Linked DNA regions of Rhinolophus ferrumequinum. The protein of the gene in region 2 interacts with the protein of the main gene of each other region in a pairwise test. Links are inferred from orthologs where the notes say so. Each region holds a gene or a part of one and is shown on either strand. Other genes may lie near its edges.

What was found.
Region 1: the proteins of TBL1XR1 (region 2) and ARL2 interact in binary tests that used the Homo sapiens proteins (3 or more experiments, as listed by UniProt). The two-hybrid records come from large-scale screens. The link is inferred for Rhinolophus ferrumequinum from reciprocal best matches to the Homo sapiens genes TBL1XR1 and ARL2.

What each region holds. Positions count from the first base shown.
Region 1 is NC_046294.1:6,580,601-6,590,751, reverse strand, and holds the start of ARL2 (ADP-ribosylation factor-like protein 2), read left to right. Parts: upstream 1-5,864; 5' UTR 5,865-5,953; coding exon 5,954-6,018; intron 6,019-8,888; coding exon 8,889-8,999; intron 9,000-9,093; coding exon 9,094-9,256; intron 9,257-10,151. UniProt on the Homo sapiens protein: Small GTP-binding protein which cycles between an inactive GDP-bound and an active GTP-bound form, and the rate of cycling is regulated by guanine nucleotide exchange factors (GEF) and GTPase-activating proteins (GAP).
Region 2 is NC_046285.1:66,366,657-66,376,875, reverse strand, and holds the start of TBL1XR1 (F-box-like/WD repeat-containing protein TBL1XR1), read right to left. Parts: upstream 4,154-10,219; 5' UTR 3,901-4,153; intron 1-3,900. UniProt on the Homo sapiens protein: F-box-like protein involved in the recruitment of the ubiquitin/19S proteasome complex to nuclear receptor-regulated transcription units. Plays an essential role in transcription activation mediated by nuclear receptors.

The DNA.
Region 1 (10,151 bases), on a different chromosome or scaffold from region 2:
GAGGATGAGAGGAGACCTGGGTTCCCCTCCTCTCCTGGCACTGCTACTTACCTGCCTTGCACTCCAGGCCTTAGCTCCCCCTCCAGACACCTGCTGGGAGGGGGTGTCTATGAGATGCCCTTCTCAGCTCATCAGGTTTGGGCCTGGTCTGGGAGCTGCCATCTGCGGGATCTCAGAGGAGAGGGCGGGGGCCTGGTGGTCAAGAATAGGCTGACAGGAGGGCTGCTTTCTGGCTGGGTGAACAACTAACAGCAGTTAACAGAAACTGCTCCTGACTCTTTTATTCAACAGATATTGACTGAGTATCTAGTATTTGTATGCCCTGTTCTAGGTGCTGGGAGACATGTTTAAAAAAAAAAAAAAGATCCAGTATCCGAAGCAGAGAGTGGGGTGAAGGAGAAACGGAGGGAGGTGGTCAAAAGATACAAACTTTCAGTTATAAGAGAAGTAAGTACTTGTGATGGAAGGTACAGCATGATGACTGTGGCTACAGGGAAATTGTTAAGAAAATAAATCCTAAGAATTCTCATCACAAGGAGAAAAATTTTTCCCTTTTTTTCTTTCTTTTTGAGAAGAAAAGAAGTGGGGCCTCCAAGTGGGGCCTTCCTACCTCTCATCTATATGAGAAGATGGATCTTAGATTCTGATCTACTGTGGTCATCATTTCACAAGATATGTAAATCAAAACATGCCGTACGTCTTAAACTTATAGGGCCTGACAATTAAGTTCACGAACTCATCCTAGAACAAGTGCTCCATACCTCATTGCTGAATATCACTACAGTCACCTTCAAAGTACTCCCCTTGGGAAGCTATGCACTGACGCCAGCGCCTAGTCCACCCTTCAAAGCAATTTTGGAACTCTTTCTGGAATGGCCATCAGAGCTGTCGTCGTACTAATCTGATGTCCTGAATGTCATCAAAATGTCTTCTTTTCAATGTTTCCTTTATCTTTGGGTAAAGAAAGAACTCACTGGGGACCAGATCAGTGGTCCCCACTAGGGAGGGTGTTCCAACACAGTTATGTTTACTGGCTAAAAACTCCCTCACAGACAGTGCCATGTGAGCTGGTGCATTGTCGTGATGCAAGAGCTCCTTCAGGACCGTTTTTGCACACACCTTTCTCATGCCAAGATTTTCAGTTAAGATTTTTCTGTTTCTATCAATCTTTACAAGGTCTGCTATGCTTCTCAGTCAGCTGACGATTTTGACGCACTTTGATTAATTTTTGCAATGTTTTCGTCAGTTCTGCTGGTTACTTGCCACCCTGACCTCTCTTCGTCAGTGACGCGGTCTCTCAGAAAAACGTTTAATCCATTTGTACACTGCCGTTTTCTTCATGGCATTATCCCCATGAATTTGGACTAACATATTCCTGATTTCACTTCCACTCCTGCCAAGTTCAACAAGAAATTTAATGTTTGTTCGTTGCTCTAATTCAAGCTCAAACATTCTCGTATCAGCACACAAAAATACACAATAATGAATTCCACTCAGCAAGACACCGCCACAAATCGACACGAACACAGCTGTGAGACACTGACACACCAAGGTTATGAAACCTTACTGAGCTGTGTGTACAGCGCTACCAATGTAAGCGCGCGGTGGCAAGTTTGTGAAGTTAATTGTCAGACCTTGTATAGTGCTGTACATCAATTATTTTTCAATAAAACTAAGGGGGGGGGGAGTGCAAATCCCAACCCTTGTGGAGCTATCATTCTAGTAGGGATGGAGGGATGGGGAGAATAAATGTAACCAATTAAGGGAATTACACAGGCTAGTAGAGGCCTTAAGTGTCATGGGGGAATGAATATAAACCAAAATAAAGGATTTGGGGAATGTGGATGGGGGATGAGTGGTTTCAACTTTAAATAGGGTGGTCAGGACTGGGCCTCACTGAGATATTGAAACAATAAATTTTTTTTGAGATATTGGACATTTGAGCAAAGCATTGAAGAGAGGGAGGTAGCAGGGAGGTATGGATTAGGGGCAGCAGGAATGCGCTGGTGGATTGGAGAATTGATAAAGGGATGAGGAGAGAAGCAGGCACTCCCAGTAGAGAGTTGCGAAGGCAATTCATGCAGGTCCTCATTGGCCACTGGAGAACTCGGGCTCCGACTCTGAAAGATACAGGGAGCAGCCAGGGGACAGCACACAGCCAAGGGCTTTAAGCGGAGGAGGGACAAGATTGGTGCACCGGTTAGAAAGGTCCCTCTGCCTTGGGGAAGAGGAACGGCGAGAGGCTGCTTTAGCCATCTCGGTGAGTGGAGCTCCTGGCTCATCTGTCAAGTGGAGATAAGAGGGTACCTGGCTCTCAGGTGGCTGAGTGAAGGCTCAGCAACTACTCCCTCCTCACTCCCCCATCTTGCCCTGTAGCGACAGGAAGCATCGAGCAGCCTGTGGAGGATGCCACAGGCACAGGGGAGGTGAACATGGACGTGTTATTGGAAGAGCTCAGATTTCCAAGTCCTTCCCCCGCTCCTCAGGTTCTGAAAAAGACTGGAGATGTCACGTGCCCTTGGATGGATGACAGGGGTGTGAGGAAGAGCTCATTTCGTTATCTGGAAGTTGGAAAGGACACCTCATCTGCCTCCCACTCCAGGCAGCTGGGTTGAAACCTATAAGGAAGATGCTTGAACACTCTGACTTGTTCTTTGAAGCATTCAGCTGTGGCTTGCTCATTGTATGCACCAAGTGGGGACAGGGCCACCCTTGGATTCTTAAGGCAGACAAGGAGATGGCGTGGGAGCACTAGAGCAAGCCAGGGCAGAACTGGGGTCCATAGGCAGTTGCCATTCCAGGGATTAGGGGGCACACTCTTTTCCCCTGGCTTTCTTTGTTGTTGTTGTTCCAGGATAAAAAGAGTTTTGTTATTTTTCTTTTATGATTAAAAAGGTGATACAGGAAGTGTATGGATGGATCAAAGAGGCTATATCTCTTAAAATTAAAACTATAATGCCAAATTTTCTTCCCCACACATTGGGTAACACACCTCTTTAAAAAGCATCCCGGGGGCAGCCGGGTAGCTCAGTTGGTTAAAGCGAGGTGCTCTTAACAACAAGGTAATGGGTTCAATTCCCACATGGGCCACTGTGAGCTGCGCCCTCCACAACTAGATTGAAACAACTACTTGTCTTGGAGCTGATGGGTCCTGGAAAAGCACACTTAAAATAAATTTTAAAAATTTAAAAACTAATAATAAAAAATAAAATAAATAAAAGGCATCTAGAACTCCATCCTCAAGTTACAATCCACTTACTTAGCCCTAAGAAACTCTCCCTTCAAAAGCGGGTTTCACAGCTCTCAGGATTTGGGTATTTTAATTTCACGATTCTTTCTCGTGAATATATATATTCATAGCTATATATAACTACAGCTCTAGAGATCTTCTTTCCCAGTTTTCTTCCAAACATATTCCCTAGAGATTTTATTTCCTTAAGAGCACCCTTTCCTTCTTTCCAGAAGGCAAATGAAAACACTGCCTGCCAGTAGGCTCCTACGTACACTTGTCTTTAAAAGCCCCTCTTCCCCCCCACCCCATTTCTAGCTACATGCAATTATTATTCAAAACAACTGCTTCCTGGTCTCCGACTATTTTACAGAGCTTCCAGGTTGATTTTTCAGTTGATATTCATCGTTATCTACTATGTGGACCCGGGGAAGCCGCAATAACTGCTTGGAACTGGGCAGGGCCGGAAGCCTGACATTAAAACAAGGATTTCAATGCTCATGGCAGTTAGTAACGTAAAACAATCCAGAAGTGCTTCAGGTAATAATTTGAAGTCCCCCTCAAACCTGTTCCAGAAGTATCAGTTGAATTGCAGTGATTTTCAAATTTTTGTGACTGACTCTTAGTTGAGAAGTACATACATCCATATAAATATCTGAAACACATTTTAACAAACACTATAAACTTTTACTTAATGGGCAAAGGCAGCAATGCTTTCTGTTCTGTTCATTCTATTTAATTTTTGCTAGTGCTTCTAGGTTGAACACATGAAACTGACTGATATCTTAGTAGTCAACATGGGCGATTACATATGATTCAATGTATTTGTGACACTAATTTCACAATCTCCTGAAGGGGCTGCATACCACAGTTTGAAAAACATTGTTTAGTGAGTTATTGTCATTTTAAAAATTATAATGGTACTAAAGTTCACTTAATTTGGCATGGACATCTTTCCACGCAGGCACATTATAGCTCCACCTCTCCTTTCTCAAAGGTTTCATGAAACCCCCCCACACACACACACACACATGTACCCCAGCTTAAGTAACTGATCCCCACTGAAGGCACTTAGATTTCTTAGGAACCAGGAAAACAGTGCACTTTCCAGTTCAGATCTGAGTTTAAATTGCTGTCGCAGCTCCTTCATTCTCTGGACTCCACTATCACATCTCCAAAAAGGAAACAGACCTCTCAGGGTTGTCAGGAGGATGAAGTAGAAAATGTGGAGTACTTTATAAACAGTCACACAGAAGCTAGCCATTATCTTCAGCTGGTGCCTGACTGCCCCAAGCATTAGAACCTTCTGTGTTGCCCACTCACATTTACCCTGTGGTAGGCTGGGGGAAAGGGCTCAAAATAAGACAATAAGGCTCACCTTTTTGAGTTTACACTCTGCCTAGTCCCTGGCCTCAGTTTCCTCATTATTTTCTGGACTCAAGCACTAAGGTAAAGAACCAAACTCTTGGATAAAGTCATTCATTCAACAACAAATATTTGAATATCTACTATATGCCAGTCAGGGTGCTAAGCACCATGTGAGCCTTAACTTTCTCATCTGCAAAAGAAATAGACAAATGATGGGCACATTGGGTGGGATAATTCTTTGTGCAGGTCTGTACCCCGCCCTCTAAGTGACAGGGACCTCCCTGGTAATTGGGACAACCCAATGATGCCCTGTCACATTTTGAAAACGCCCTTCATGGCATTTTCTCCCTTGATGGAGAACCCCCGCCCTCCCTCTATGACTCCAGGTGCCAGGGAAAGGGGGAGGCCTTGTAACTGGCAGGTTCAGGATGACACCCTAGGTCCAACCAAGATGAGGAGGATCTGGACCATGTTTTCAGGGAGCAGAGCTGCTGGTCCCGTGCCCCACACAAAAACGCAGGATATGGTGAGGCCGAAAAGGAGCACCAACGGAGCCATAGATAGGGGAGTCATACCACTATATTCTCAATGGCGGCTGGTTGAGACACAAAAGCAAACATCCACCAGTACCCCAATGCGGGGTCTTCCTGCACCCCTCTCTCTGGCAGCCAGGCGAGACACTGGAAGTAGGATTCACACGATCCGCAATCCATCTGCTTGCTAACCGCACTTGCCAACCACAATCCGAAGTCACTTCTCTGCCAACCAACCCCTTTGCGGAGCGAGGACAGTTATATTAGTGGCTGATGGCTAATCGGTAACAGCTAATGCCCATCTGATTATAGCTGATGGCCATCTAATAACCAAGCCAGCACCTTTCCACGTGAGACCAAGAGCCTGGAAACTGCTCTCTGGGACTCTGTCTCCACAGAGCCTTACACTGGCCAAAGGATAAACTCATCAACAATCTTGGGGCTCTCCATTGGTTCTGACTCCTGCCTCTTCTTACTTCCTATGCAGCCAAAACACAATCCAGGAACTTCAGGTTTCCGTTCCCATTTGAGCCTGGGGTCCTGGAGAGGAAGGAATGGCGGTGCTCTCGTCCTTCAAGCCCTCGGTATGCGAAGGGTTAACTGCAGGTTGGTGAAGAGTTAGCGCAGAAGTCCCCATCACCGCTAGAGGGACCTTCGCAGAGGCACCAATGGGTGACTTCGCGGTCACGTGGGAATGAGGGCGGGACCAAGCGAGGGGCCCGCCAATAGGCTGTGTTGTCAGTGGGCGTGATAGCCAATAGGAGCAGGGCGAGGGGTCCCGGGACTAGGAAGCAACGGCGGCCAGGAGGGGGTTACGGGGACCATGGGCCTTCTGACCATCCTGAAGAAGATGAAGCAGAAAGAGCGGGAGCTGCGACTACTCATGCTGTATCCTCCCGGACGCAGAAGCGGCCAGGGTAGCGGGGCCCCGCCGGGCAGGCGGCACCAGGCGCCCCCTACCGGGCGCAGGGTGAGCGGCCGGCCGGCCCGTCCCAACTGCCCATTGTGCGTCACGCACGTGGGGACTACCAATCACTTGCGGCGGGGGCCCGGGAGGAGGCCGTACCATCGACTCGGGGCGGGGGAAATCCGTTTTCAAGGCAAAGGTGTGAGCCTCATGGCGCAGCGGCCGCACCAGGTGCCCCGGTGTAGAGGGGAAGTGGGTCCTGGAGGTGACTCTGACGCCACACCACCCTTTGGTCTGGCCCAGGCTTGGGGCCTCGGTTCTCCTGGGCTCTAACCTCCTCCCCCTGCCCGTGGGGGCCGGCCTCAGGCCCGGGCCCCGCCCTCAAGGTCGGAATCCCGGGGGCGTGAGGGCACCGTCCTCAGCTCCCGGGAGAGGCGTGTGTGGCCTCGGTGGGTTCGTTCGCCAGTGGGTCCAGTAGTCGTGTTTGTTTGCTGCTGCACGACCCCGTGGTTTTTGGCTGACGGGTTGTAGGCCCGAGGGCCCCGCCGACCTTCCGAGTCCCATTAGCAGGCGTCTGTATTACTTTGTGCCAGGCCCCGCGTGGACTCTGCCATCCAAGAGCTGGGCTGCCCTCACCCCCAGCTCCCCTAGCAGGGAGAGAAGACACGTGCACAAATAACTCCAATAATATTCACATCATGTCTGTTTAAAGAGTTCTTTGAAAGGCTCAGAGAATTCACTCATCCAATAAATATTTTTTGAGCACCTACTCTGTGCTAGGCACTGTCCTAGGGGCTGGGGTAAAACAGCAAAACAAAAACAACCCCTTCCTTCATGGACATTATATAATGCTGGAAGGAGAAAGATGTTAACAAAGCAAATAAGTAAAATATATCGTATGTATGGAGGAGGATGCATTTAAATAAGGGGGTTAAAGAGGCCACGTTAAGAGTGAATCGGAGGTGAGGGACCGAATCATGTAGATATCTGGGGGAAATTGTTTAAGCAAAGGGAACAGCAAATGCAAATGCCTGGAAGGATGAACTCAAGAGGGTCTTCAAAGGAATGTTAAGGAGGGCAGTGTGGCAGGAGGAGAGTACTAGGTTAGGACAGAAGGGTGATGGAAGGGCCTCACTGTAGGACCTTTCGCTTCTTGGCTTTTCCTTTAAATGAGAAGTGTGGAGGGGAGATGTGCTCTGAGAATAGTTAGGCCACTGCAGTATCGCGGATGAGATAGGATGGTGGCTCAAACCAGGTGAGATAGATGGTGGCTCAAGGTGATGGAAGTTGGGGGCATTTTGACAGTAGGCCAGCAGGAATTGCTGGGGAGAGAGAGAGAGAGAGAGAGAGAGAGAGAGAGAGAGAGAGAAGTCAAATATGACTGCTAGGTTTCTGGCCTGAGCAATTAGAAGAATGAGGAGCCATTTGCTTGGATAGAGAAGCGGGCAGGGAGCAAGTTCAAAGGGAAGATGGGAGTTCACTTTTGGCAGCTGGGTGAGACATATACATTTGGGAGTCATCAGCATAAAGATGGTATTTGAAGCTGTGATCCTAGATGAGATCATCAAAAGCGTGGACAGACGAGGGAACCGAGGTGTTCCTAGTTCAGGAGGTCAGGGAGATGAGGAGTGGCCAGATGTGTCCTGGAGTGGAGGAAGGCACAGGCTACTCGGTCAGGTGCTGCTGGTGGAGCAGAAGGATGAGGACTGAGGACTGCCCAGCCCTTGGAGGGCAACATGGGGGTCCTTAGGGACCGACATTGGCAAGAGCAGTTGTGGGGAAGCAGGGCGAGCAAAAGCCTCATGGGTTCAAGAAAGAGCAGGAGGACAGAAATTGGAGAGGATGAGTGTGGACACAGGAGTATGGATTTGCTGTAAAGGGGGGAAATAAAGGAATAAGTAAGGGGGGGAGGGATAGAGAGGATGATGTTTGCTGCTTCTAAGGGGGGAGAGACGCCAGAGGGTATCAGTTGAGGGGAATGATCCAGTGGGGAAGGAAATGTGAATGGTGGAGTTAGGGGTCAGGGAATAGTCAGCAGCCAATGAGCAGGGGCTAAGTCTGAGTCTCAGGAGAGGTGCTCTGTCACCCCCACGTCACTAGTTTGAATCACCCATGTCAGGTGAGGAAAAGGTTACTGAGTCTAAGGCCTGGGCCCCCCTCCCAGCTGCAGACCCCTTAAGTGCTAGAAGGAAAGAGGAGGGTGGTTCTCTCTGGCTGGTGAGCTCACGCACTTGTTTGTACACTCACTCAGCAGCAGGGTTTGGAAGAGTCCTGAAACAAGGTCACCCGCTGCCTCCAGACACTTGCTCTTGCTGTTCCCTCTGTCTAGAACACTCTTCCCCCAATGCTTCAAAAAGCTGGCGCCTTGTAGATTGGACCTCAGCTCAAAACCCTCAGAGAGGTCTTTCCTGGCACCCAAGCTGAAGGAAGCTTCTCCGATGTGATGGCCCTCTCTGAAAGCCTCCTCCTTGTATTTCTAACACGCACCAGGACCTGATAGTACCTTGTTTCTCCTTGGTTTGTACCCTGTCGACTGTCTCTGCACTAGAATGTAAGCTGCACACAGGTAAGACTTTGACTCCGGGGTCCCCCAGCACCAGAAGAGGGCCTGGCATTGAGAAGGTATTCAATAAATATTGCGGAGTGAATTCAGGAGTCTTTGGTCAGCAGGAGATGATAAGATATGTTTCTTGATACTTTCACATTTATCCTGGGCCGATTATGGGTCAGGCATGTGCTCCACTGATTTTGATAGGTGGTAGGAAATTATTTATCCCCTAAGAGAGGGGCACTGTGATGATTCACCACCCTGCAGAGCATGGGGGTTTCTCCTTAACCTGGCGCGCCCCAGCGGCCTGGACAACGCTGGCAAAACAACCATCCTCAAGAAGTTCAATGGAGAAGACATTGACACCATCTCCCCAACGCTGGGCTTCAACATCAAGACCCTGGAACACCGGGGGTGAGCAGGGTCCCTGCGGGCGGGCAGCCCAGAGCAGGGTGGGGAGGGTGGGCGAGGGGCCAGGCTGACCTTCCAGCCACCCCTCCCTGCCCAGATTCAAGCTGAACATCTGGGATGTGGGCGGCCAGAAGTCCCTGCGGTCCTACTGGCGGAACTACTTTGAGAGCACCGATGGCCTCATCTGGGTGGTGGACAGCGCCGACCGCCAGCGCATGCAGGACTGCCAGCGGGAGCTCCAGAACCTGTTGGTGGAAGAGGTGGGCAGGGGGCCTGGCTGAGGGGGGCTGTGGGGGGAGCCGGGCTCCCACCTGTATTCAGGCCCCGACACTTTGTGCACATACGTGGATGTGTGGACACCTTCCTCAGCAGATTCCCTGAGGGCTCCATGACCCCAGAGAGACACCTATGGCAGGGTCTCTTCCTTCCCTGAGCCCTCACCACATGCCCAGCACCCTTGGGGAGGCAGAGAGACAACCTGTATACCTAGTCCTGGGAGGCCCGTGGTGCCACAGGCAGGACACGCTGTGGACTGAGATCTGTGTTCACGTCCCTGTGAGGTCACTGCTTCACCACCCTGAGCTTAAGTTTCCACACCTTGAATCAGGCTTTAGGGAGGAGGACTGCAGGCCAGCGTGTGAGGCTTTGGAGGCAGCGGAACCTAGCTCAGGAGTCAGATTCTAAACTGTGTGACCGCAGGCAAGGCACTTAACCTCTCTGAACCTCCACTTCTCATCTCTAAGATGGGCATTGTAGGGTGATATTTCTTATCTGGCCCAAACACTTTTCTTTAAATAAAGTTTTAGATTTATAGAAAAGTTGCAGATAATGAAGAGAGACCCCGTATATCCTTCACCCAGCTTCCCCAGGGTTAACCTCTCACATAATCACCGTATATTTGTCAAAACTAAGAAATTAACATTGAAAAGTTACTCTTAAAAAACGACAGATTACATTTGGATTTCTCCAGTTTTTACACTGATGTCCTTTTTCTGTTCCAGGATTTGATCTAGGTTCCCTATACTGCATTTAGGTGAAAACAAGGGCACTTTTGAAAGTGAGAGCGGGGCTTGTTAATAATTACGCAGGGACAACAGGCATCAACAGGGCTGTCCTGGGCACACAGGGACATGGTCCCCTGGTATAACAGCTACC
Region 2 (10,219 bases):
AGACCGGGCCTTATATTAATTTTTGCTCCAGAAGACGCATTCGAGTTGATCGTCCCGCTAGGTCTTATTTTCAGGGAAACACAGTAGTAAGGAATGGAGCCTGAGTTGGAACCCAGGCAATCTGCCTCAAGGACCCCAGACGGAATCACTATGCTACACAAAACATGATTTTTCTTATACAAGTTTTCAAGAATATCTACTTGGAGGATAGTTGGGCATACTCTTATTTGCTTTACCTTCTTATTTTATTTCTGTGGGCAGTACTTGGAGAGGCTACTTCACCTCTTTCAATCTTAAGGTAAAAAATATAGCAGTTGACAAGACTGCATCTAATTAAACACTTGTAACGGAGTTTAAGCACACTGATGTTTGCATCACATGAATTTCATTTATCCATGCAATCACTTGACCCGGTTAGCAGAGACACCCAACTTCTGAATTATAAACTTGATTAAAAACACTCGTTTTTGCAAGCATATCTACAGACAAGACTGACAAAACAGCTGGAAAATTTTGGCACTGCAAAAGTCATCTACAAATTTGGACTAGGGCTCACACAGACCTAAGTTTGAATTGCAGTGCATCATTTGGTCATTTGGTGGCCTTGGACAAGTGAATTAACTTTTCTGCATGGCTCTGTGTCATCACGCACAGAAAGAACCCAATACCACCCACCTCATAGGATTAGTCTGAGGTATAAATGACGCAGAAAGTAACTCACACCTTTCCTAGCTCCCCAGCCCAAGCAGAGTCCCTTTCTTCTGGCTCTTTGTAACAGGCCAACTCATTGTACTCTTATGGAGTCCAATACCAGAGGTGGTGAATAAACCTCTCCACCATCATCAGCTCTCAGTTGTTTGTTTGTTTGTTTGTCTGTCTGAATTCAAGTTTCTGTTGGTGATAGAGCAGAAGATACCACTATGGTGGTCTCCAAACTGGACCATGCTCTTCCCAATTCTTTATTATACAGCCCTGGGAGCCTAGCCCTTCTGTACTATGGGAATGCATAAATGTCTCCATGTTAGCTGCTTTCTTTTTCTGCATTTCTATTTTTTTTGCTTTCTATTTTTTGCATATAGTGACTTACACTATATGTTATTTGTGAAGTTAAACTCACATGAACTAGAAAAATACCAAGCCCCAAACAGTGCTAATATTTCTGCCATCTCTGTCCCTTGACTACTACCATTCACATTCCTCTCATTTTATATAAACAACACAGAAACTGAACAAACCTAACAAATTATTTCTACTAACTTCATCCAATGTGTCAAATCAGAAATTCTTTGTAGTAATACTGCTGTAGCAAATTCCTTTTCTGTAGGATTCCTTTGTCAAGCTACTCACTTGACAAGACTGTACTTATATATCATTGCAATATACGAACAGATATATTTATTCAACAGGTTGTCTCCTTCAAAAGGTCCATTAGCCACATCTCTTTTTATCAGTAACCCCTATGTTTACATTAAGCTTCTGTCTTTTCTGCCTCTTAGCTTCAAAAGCTCCCAGTACACAGGAAGCAGTTACTTCTTGTTCTCTTGGTAGGTATGTATCATGGTAATCAGGATAACCTTAATTAGATGTTGAGAACACAAGTAACAAAAAGATTCCTGGACACCTGTGAAGTTATTAAAATGTTTAAGATTTAAGGCTTCTTTTAAGCAACCAATGCAAAAATACAACCTCCACAAGGAGTCACTCCATTTACTGCGAGTCTCCACCATATTAACAACCAAAGTTGGTGTCTGTTGGAAGAAAAACGTCCTCCATAAGATGGTGAGCTTTACAACAATTTTTAAGCCGTTTACAAGTCCCTTACTTAAGTTCCTTAATAGTAGGAAAAACTTTTTCCATGTAAATATGTTTTCACCCCTCTATATAGTTTAGTATTTTGTCCTATAGATCTGATTCTAACTACTCATATGGCAAAAAACAGTATTTATTTATGGATTTAATGGTTGTTATTACATACATAAATAGTGCATGATAAAAGAACTGGGAAAAAATCATATTCCAAACAAACAGGAAAACCTCAATTTAAGAGCAAAAAGTTTAAACAATGTATCACATGCCTAACCACACTCTCAGGCATATTTTCTATCTACCACCCCTCCTACACAGGTAAATGCTAACTATTTCTAGAATTCTCAATGATAATTTCTGAGGCTTGCTTGCCATGAACTCCCATGACACAACCCAACATACACACACCGTTTTCATGGAGACAAAGCAGCTCTATTTCCCTTGACCATGAACTTATTAAAATGGTGAGAACATACAGTCCCAGGAAGTTAGGATTACTAAAACACACTAATACAGCATGGGCCTGGTTTAACAAAAATGAAAATAAACCACACTGGAAAAGCCAAAGAGTCACTCACTGTATCTTCAATGTGTAACCAGGATATTTATTACAACTTGTTTTAGGTAAGTAGATAAAAACACCACCAGGGCCTCATATTTTCCAATCTGACAAAGGAGTCTTTAGGAAAAAAGAGGGAGGAAGATGATTACTTAATTACATGGGGGGAGGGGTAAACCCTTTAACTACAAATAACCCAATTCACCCACCATATTTTATTAACAAGCTTGTTTAGATCAACATAATGTGCTTGTTTGGAAAACAAGAAAGCCAATAGTAAACTTCCCCAAGTCAACTGTAAATCACAGAGGTACTAAAACTGTTCACCTTGGTGCCTGCACAGTCCAAGGTTTTAAGTAAATTCCAGGCACTGTGGAAATCCAGTTTTTAACTAGGTTCCGACCCCTGTCATTTATAATCACCAAATTATTTTCGAAATCTTATAACCAAACAACAGGAGCATTTTTAAAGAGTTCTTACAAGCCAAATTTTACACGAAACACACCATTTTCGCAACCTAAATTTAATCTCGGTTGCCACTGCAAAGTGATGCCTGTTTCAGCAAATTAGGAACTTCCAAAAATACTGAACATGTTAACACATGCATGGCTTCCCTCGAGCTGCCACTTAAGACTAATATTTCACTTAAATAAAAGTCTGCTTCTGTTCAAAAAATGACATCGGTTGCAAAGAGGAAGTTACCGAGAAACCACCCTCACAACGTGGCCTTTACACTGTCAGAAAATAATGTGACTCTGCCACCCAAAACTTACCAGGAAGCTGGCAATAACTTTGCCAATTCTACACTTCTGAACCCAACTTCAAAGTGACTCTATCAAATACCTCCTTAGGACGATAAAAAGCACTAAGTTACAAATAAACACGTCCTGAAGTGCGGCCCCGCGCCCCTCCCCCGCTCGGGTCCCGCGGCCCCAACAGCCGCCCGCAGCCCCCCGCACGCCAGCTAGGGTCGCCGCGCCTGGGCCCGGGACGCGCCCAAGGAGGGGAGCAGATTTCCATTGCTGCCTGAGGTTTAACAAAATAACATGCACGGAAAAGATCCCTCTCCTCTGCTAAAAATAGGCTATAAAGGAGTCGGCCTCATGATGGCTCCTTGATTCAATTTGCTGCAAATTCTTTCCTGAAAGCCTTCCCCCACATACACACACACAAAAAGGGGGTGTAAATGCACGAAGGGTGGAAGAGGGGGAGAAGGCCGAGGTGCACATTTTCGGGGACAACATAATAAGGGTAAGGATCCCCAAGACCAGGAAAGGGTAGGGATTGGGCAGGCACGTGAGCATTTCAAAGAAGCCTGAGAGAGGAAAAGGGGGATGGGGCACCCTAAATGCCTTCCCTGCCTTCCCCTCCCCCACCCAAACCCCAGCTCCCTAAAGGGCCAAGTTGAAAAATGCATGTTCCACTTGCGCCCATCCCCCCCACGGCCCGGCGCCCACCGGCCGCCCGCCTCCGCCCGCGCCCCCAGCCCGGGACCGCGGTCGCCCCCACCCCAGGGTCCGGCCCCCAGCGCTTACCTGGAAACGGTGGCCTCCGACGCCGCTCCCCCCTCCCAGGAATGGAGGCACAAGGAAATTCCCCTCCTCGCCGCCGCCGCCGCCGCCTCCAACCACCCCCAAAATAACCCCTCCGGGGGGTGAGAGGCAATTATAACCCCGGCGAGCGGAGGGCGCGGGGGATGGGCGCCGGGCGGGCGGGGGCGGGGAGCGCGGCGCGGGTCCCCAGGTGGCGAGCGGAGGTGCTCCCGCCGAGGGGGGAGGGGCGGGGGCGCACGCGGCCGGCGGCGGGGGGAGGCGGCGCGCGGGGGAAGGGCGCGAGCGGGGAGAGGAATTGAGGCAGAAGGTAAAAGCTGTTACTAAGGGAAAGAGCCAAACGGTTCGGAGCAGCCAACGGCTCAGACACTCAACACTGGGGAGAGAGGAATGGGGACCAGCCAGGCACAAATGAGCTCGCGAGGCCCGCGGCAGCGGCGGCCGCGCAGCAAAACAAACCCGAGCGGCCTGCGCCGGGCGGGCGCGCGGGGGAGGGGCCCGCGGGGGAGGGGCGCCGCGGACGCGGGGAGGAGGCGGCGGCGCGGGGGGGTGCCTCCGCCGGCCTCGCTCCTCTCCCTCCTTCCCTCCCGCCCGCCCGCCGCGGCGGTGCTGGGGGCTGGGCGTGTGCGGCGCAGTCTTTTAAAAATAAAGAAAAACCCGCGGGCGCTCCGAGGCGCCTCGCGGGTACTGTCCGCCCTGCCCCCACCGCCGCGCGCGGCTGGGTGGCTTGGGTGGGTGTGGGCTGCGCCGCCCGAGGCCCAGTGGGGGCGGGGAGGCTCGCGCCGTAGCCAATGTGGCAACGCTGGTTAAGTTTGCTGGGGTGGCCGGCAGGGCTCCAGCGTGTTGGGGGGCAGCCTGTCCCCGCCGGCATCCGGGCTGCGCGGCTGAGCACACACACTCGGTGGGCATGTGCGTGGAGCGCGATGCAGGCATCATATGGACATTTGTTTGTGAAAAGATGTGCACACACCTTTGTGTGCATAAATACATATGTTTGTCGGAAGCGTACCTGCAAAGGTGCTTTATCTGTAAATAAGCGATTTTCAAAATGTAATCCAGAGCAGGGACTCTGTAGGGAAAACACGCACACAAGAAATGGTTTTTGATACTAAACACAAAGCTGTAATTGAAGTGTTTATGCTCAAATGTACTGTGAATCAAACATATGGTGGTATTTATCGTCTGGTGGGTCTGTTTGAAAGGTTTGGTCGATCAGCTCTCATTTCACAAAAATAATGTAACTGATTACTAAATATATACCTCTACCGCAGCATCGACAGAAGTTTATCCACTTTGTGTACTTTTTGCATGTGTGTAGCATATCAAGGCAGTTTATAAAGTATAACTTAGATGAGTGATGTGACAATGTGACTGAGGAAGAGAGTGCAGCCGGTTGTTTTTTAAAAGGGAGGCACCTCGGTTTTTAAGACAAATGTGTTCATCTTTCTAAGGCCTTCAGAAAGCAGGGATTGGGGGGTCCTTTTAAAAAGACCTTTGTACAACCCTAAGACATGAAAAGCAGCTACCCTTTTAAGATATGACCTGAAAGAAACCTGTTGTTATTTTCAGTTACTACTGTCTCCAAAGTAAAATAACATTTTTTGCAGCCTTTTTAGGGTGAAGGATTCTGTTTTCATACTTCCACCACAATATTTGAAAATAGGTTTAGTCATTATTTTAAAGCAATAATAGTCTTTTCCTCTCAACATCAGAGACCTAATTTTACACACCAAAAAAAAAAAAAAAATTCATTGGAAGTAACTTTTATGCTTCTAGACTCCCGTGCCCTAATAAGCTCAGTGATTAGACCAGTGCTTTTTTCGCCAAGGTCAACGACTCTCCCCTGATTAGCCCTTGCTTGGGGGAGAAGGGGAGCAGCCAGAGGCTCTCCTGACCAGCGGTGAGGGTGGGGAAAGGAGTGGGCAGAATAAACCATCAGAGGAAAGGGGGTGGGATTGGAAAATCCGTCCCAACCACCATAAAGAGAGTTCAAAGCCTCTCAGTGGATTGTCCTTAGAGCTATTTTTCATATATGAAAGAGGGAATGTTAGATTAAACAATGTCACCCGATGGGAATTTAGATAACTGCAGGTTTCCAAAACACTGTGTTGAGTGTACAGGGAAACAGCACAAGGAAAGCAAGTTTTGCATTTCAGTAAGATTCTAAAAATGAGGCTTATTTACTCCACAATTAGCACCTTTGCAAAGACTTCCAGAAGCGATGAGAATATAGTAGCTTCCTATTATTTTATTTTTTAAAAGAGTTGATTAATGACATATGTAGGTTACTAAACATAATCCTCTCTTCAATTAAGTGAACTGTCTCAGTAAAATTAGGGTTCATTATCTGAGCCACCCAGTGAAAGCAATCTATTGGCCTACATTGTTTTTGAAGTTTCACATTGTGGCACCACGCATGGGTCTTCTCCAGGCAGCAGCTACTATAAAATTAAACCACTCTTCCAGTGAATGTGGACTTCCCAACTACAGGAGTCATAATAGGGTCATCTTCAAACCTGGGATCCCCCACACACACTATTCTCCCTGAAAATGACTTCCATCTTTCCCTCTACAAGGATGGGCCCACCCTTCCTCAGGTTCTTAAAGTCTAGGGCTTCCAGCCTGGAATTCTTATACCCTACGCTAAGCTGCCTCCTTTCCTAACAGAAGTTGTTTTTATCACAATGCTAGTAATAATAACCTACTGTGTTTCCCCGAAAATAAGACCCAGCCAGCCAGTCAGCTCTAAGTCTTTTGGAGCAAAAATTAATGTAAAACCGGCTCTTATCTTATATAAGACTTGGTCTTATATTAATTTTTGCTCCAAAAGACGCATTAGAGCTGATGGTCCGGCTAGGTCTTATTTTCGGGGAAGCACGGTATGTATTTGTTTACATCCTTGTGATTTACAAGGCCTTTCTGTGCACAAATTACTTCATTTGAAAATTATGATAAAAATTATCAAAGGTGGGGACCTGTCCCATCACCTCCAGTAAAAGGGCACCTCACCCACCATGCTCACTGAAGAGAAACTTTAAGTCCCTTGGACCAAAAAAAAAGCACTCAATGTGGAAAAGCCTTGATTCTTCCAGCGGAGGGATTTTAAATGAGATCGTATTTTGATCACTTTCATTTTCAATATTCTGGAACCTATCGGAAATGACAGTGTGGCTACAACGTGAAATCCTCAGATAAATGAGCCACCATATAAAGGTGGCATGTATTGTTACCTCACCCTTCAGTCATCCTAATATATCCAGTGTACAAGATGAGAGGCCTCCCCAAAATTCAAGCAATAATTAGGCACAAGAGGGAGGTAGGGACAAAGAAGTAACTATTGTACTAATTTTCAGTGCTTTGTCATAATCTAAAAGCTGCCCTTCTACTTTGAATATAAGTGGTAATATGTTTCTAAAAAGGAGACATTACTAAGAAATTCTTGAGCAAAGAGGCACATTATTAAGAAAGCTCTCTTGAACTTTCTAGCTAATTAGTCAACAAAGAAAAACCTCATACCAGTAACTGTTACCAGAAGTTACATATATATTGTAAAATAACTAAACAAATCTTGACTTGTTTTATTTCAATAATATTACACCCAGGGGTGTGGTATGGCAAGATAGCCTACACCTTTGCAACTTTCATCACCCAGGAAATAGAACATTTCAAAGTCAAGGTGGCTTAGTCCTGGGCCCACAGGATGTCATTCCTATATATATTTTTAAAGCCACCATGATGTTTCAAGTTGTTTGCATTAACAGATCTATGTTTTTAAGGTGTTCAAAATGATCTTCACAGCATGAAAAAGATTTTTGATAACAAAAATATTATCCTGGCACTATACTATAACCTTTTATGTTCTTACCCAGAAACTCAGTGGCTTTATGTCTGTAGCATTTACCCCCAAGCGTCTTGCTGATACCCTGTGATATGTCTCTGTTTCATTTTGACTCTGCTTGTGCAATTCTTTGTCTGTGGTTCTTTCAGCTATCAGCTTTTGCCATCCAGACTGATGCACATCTTGGCCACACATCTCAGGATCTCAGCACACAAGCTCCTTTTCTCCATCTGTGCTTAGCATGCGACTTGTGACCTTCCCTCATCAGTATGAACCTTGTCACAGTTTTCCATGACTCTGTGACCCGATTTCATTAGAACCATGAACTTTATTTGGGAGTCTTCATTTAAATTACAAAAGAAACACACAACCATTTTACAAGTATTTATGCCTCTCAGATAATGGAAATAGCAGGTTGTATCCTGCCTCTGTGATTCAGTCAGAACAGAAAAGCAGCCACACACAGAGCATATAGCTCTACTTACTTATACTGACCAGCCATGTGCTTCCTCAGGGCAGCACTCAAGGCCTTGCATTATGTTGATGGTTTTGCATTCGTTCATTCGACAAACATTTACTGAATGCTTACTGTGCCAGGCACTGTTCAAGAAGCTATTTACAGTGAACCAAACAGAGCTTCCACTATCATGGAATTTACATTCCAGTCCCATTTCAGGTGGGGGTTGGGAGGGCAGTCAGACTTTCAAAAAAATAACATGTCTGTATTAGAATATAGTTTCACTTCTATAGCAAAGGCTTAAACAAAAGGCTTAGAAAATATATGAAAAAGGCTTAAACAAGATAAAAAATTTACTCTCTTATGTGGCCATTCAAATGTAAGCACTCTAGAGCTGATAAGATATCAAGAACTCAGATTTCTCTAGTGTCTCAACACCCATCTTCCAGCTGGTGGTCTACGATGGCTTTTCTAGGCTCTTGCCATGACATCCAGATTACAGCCACTGGGCTAGAAAGGAGGAGAAATTGAGGGCTTATACCTGCTGTTTCAGGACTTGTCCTGGCATTTGCACTCATCACTTCCAGTCATACTCCATTGGCCAGAACTTGGGCATCTGACCACACCTAACTGCTAACAAGTCAGGTAAACGATATGACATACAATAAGGCAGAGAGGGGATTGAAAATGTATGTTATTTTAGATAGGGTGTTTAGAGAAGGCTGCTCAGTTTAGGTAACGCGTGTGAGCAGAAAACTAAGTGAAGTGAATGGGTGAGTGTGCAATTATCAGAGGAAGGAGCATTCCAGGCACAGGGAATGTCAAGCACAAAGGAACAAAGGTAAAAGCAAGTGTGCTGTATTCTAGGAATAAAAATGATGCCAGTTGATTGGCATGAAGTAAACAAAGGAGAGTCAGGAGAGGGAGCCAGGGACCAAATGTGAAGGGCCTTTTTCTTCTTGTGAGATGGAAAGTCACTGGAAGATTTTGAAAGCAGAGAAGTGACGAGTTCTGACTTTTGTTTTAAGAAGGACTACTCTGCTGTGCAGAGGACCAAGTGCAACAGTGCAGCAGTACAAGGAGAATGACTAGTCAGGGGACAGTGCAGAAATCCCAAGGAAAAGATAGTACCATGGGTGATGGTGGCAGGAGCTGGCTAGAAGGAGCTAAACTCTGTCTACGTTTTAAACAATGATTGCAAGATTTTATACCAAACAAGTGGAAGAATGGAGTTGCCATTTGTGGAGATGAAAAATTATTTTTATGAGGGAAAAATCAAGAGTTTTATTTTAGAATTTGATGTGCCTATTAGACATCTCATGAAGATATTGAATGGGCAGCTAGATATATAGTTTGGTGTTCAGAGGAAGTATTGGAGCTGGAGAATTTAGGGTCTCATCAGAAATGAAATTTGAAATCATAGGCCTAGGTATAATTGACTAGAGAGTGGGTATGGATAAAGAAAAGTTTTCTATTACCTACAGTTATCTCCTACCCCAAATATATTCTTTTATTACCAATGCTCTTCTGCTCTTGATGTAGTCAGAAGCCTAAAACATACTTTATTGTAGGTGAACATAAGGTGACATGCTCTTTGTGAAAGGACATTGGTGGAAACCAGATTAATTGCTACCATTTATTCAGCATGTTGCCAAGCACTTTTATGTTTGTTGTCTCTAATTTTTTTCAACAATCTGAAGAGGTAAATAATTTTGTTATCTCAGTTTGTTATGTGAGAAAACTAACGAGACCAAATCGCTGTCTAAAATCGTGTTGCAAATGGCAAAATGAGGATTTGAACTCAAGACTGTCTGAGTACAGTGTCTGCTTTTCCACTAAGGGAAACAAAGCAGGTCAAGGCACGAAAGTGCGAGGGTTTGCTGAAAAGTCCTTCACTGAATAGGGAGAACAGAAAAATGCAAAGTAGAAAAAAGGAGAAACTGCTTGAGGGGAGGAAACACATCTTAATTGCATTTACAAAAGCCACATTTCCTAGATCAGAATCTCAA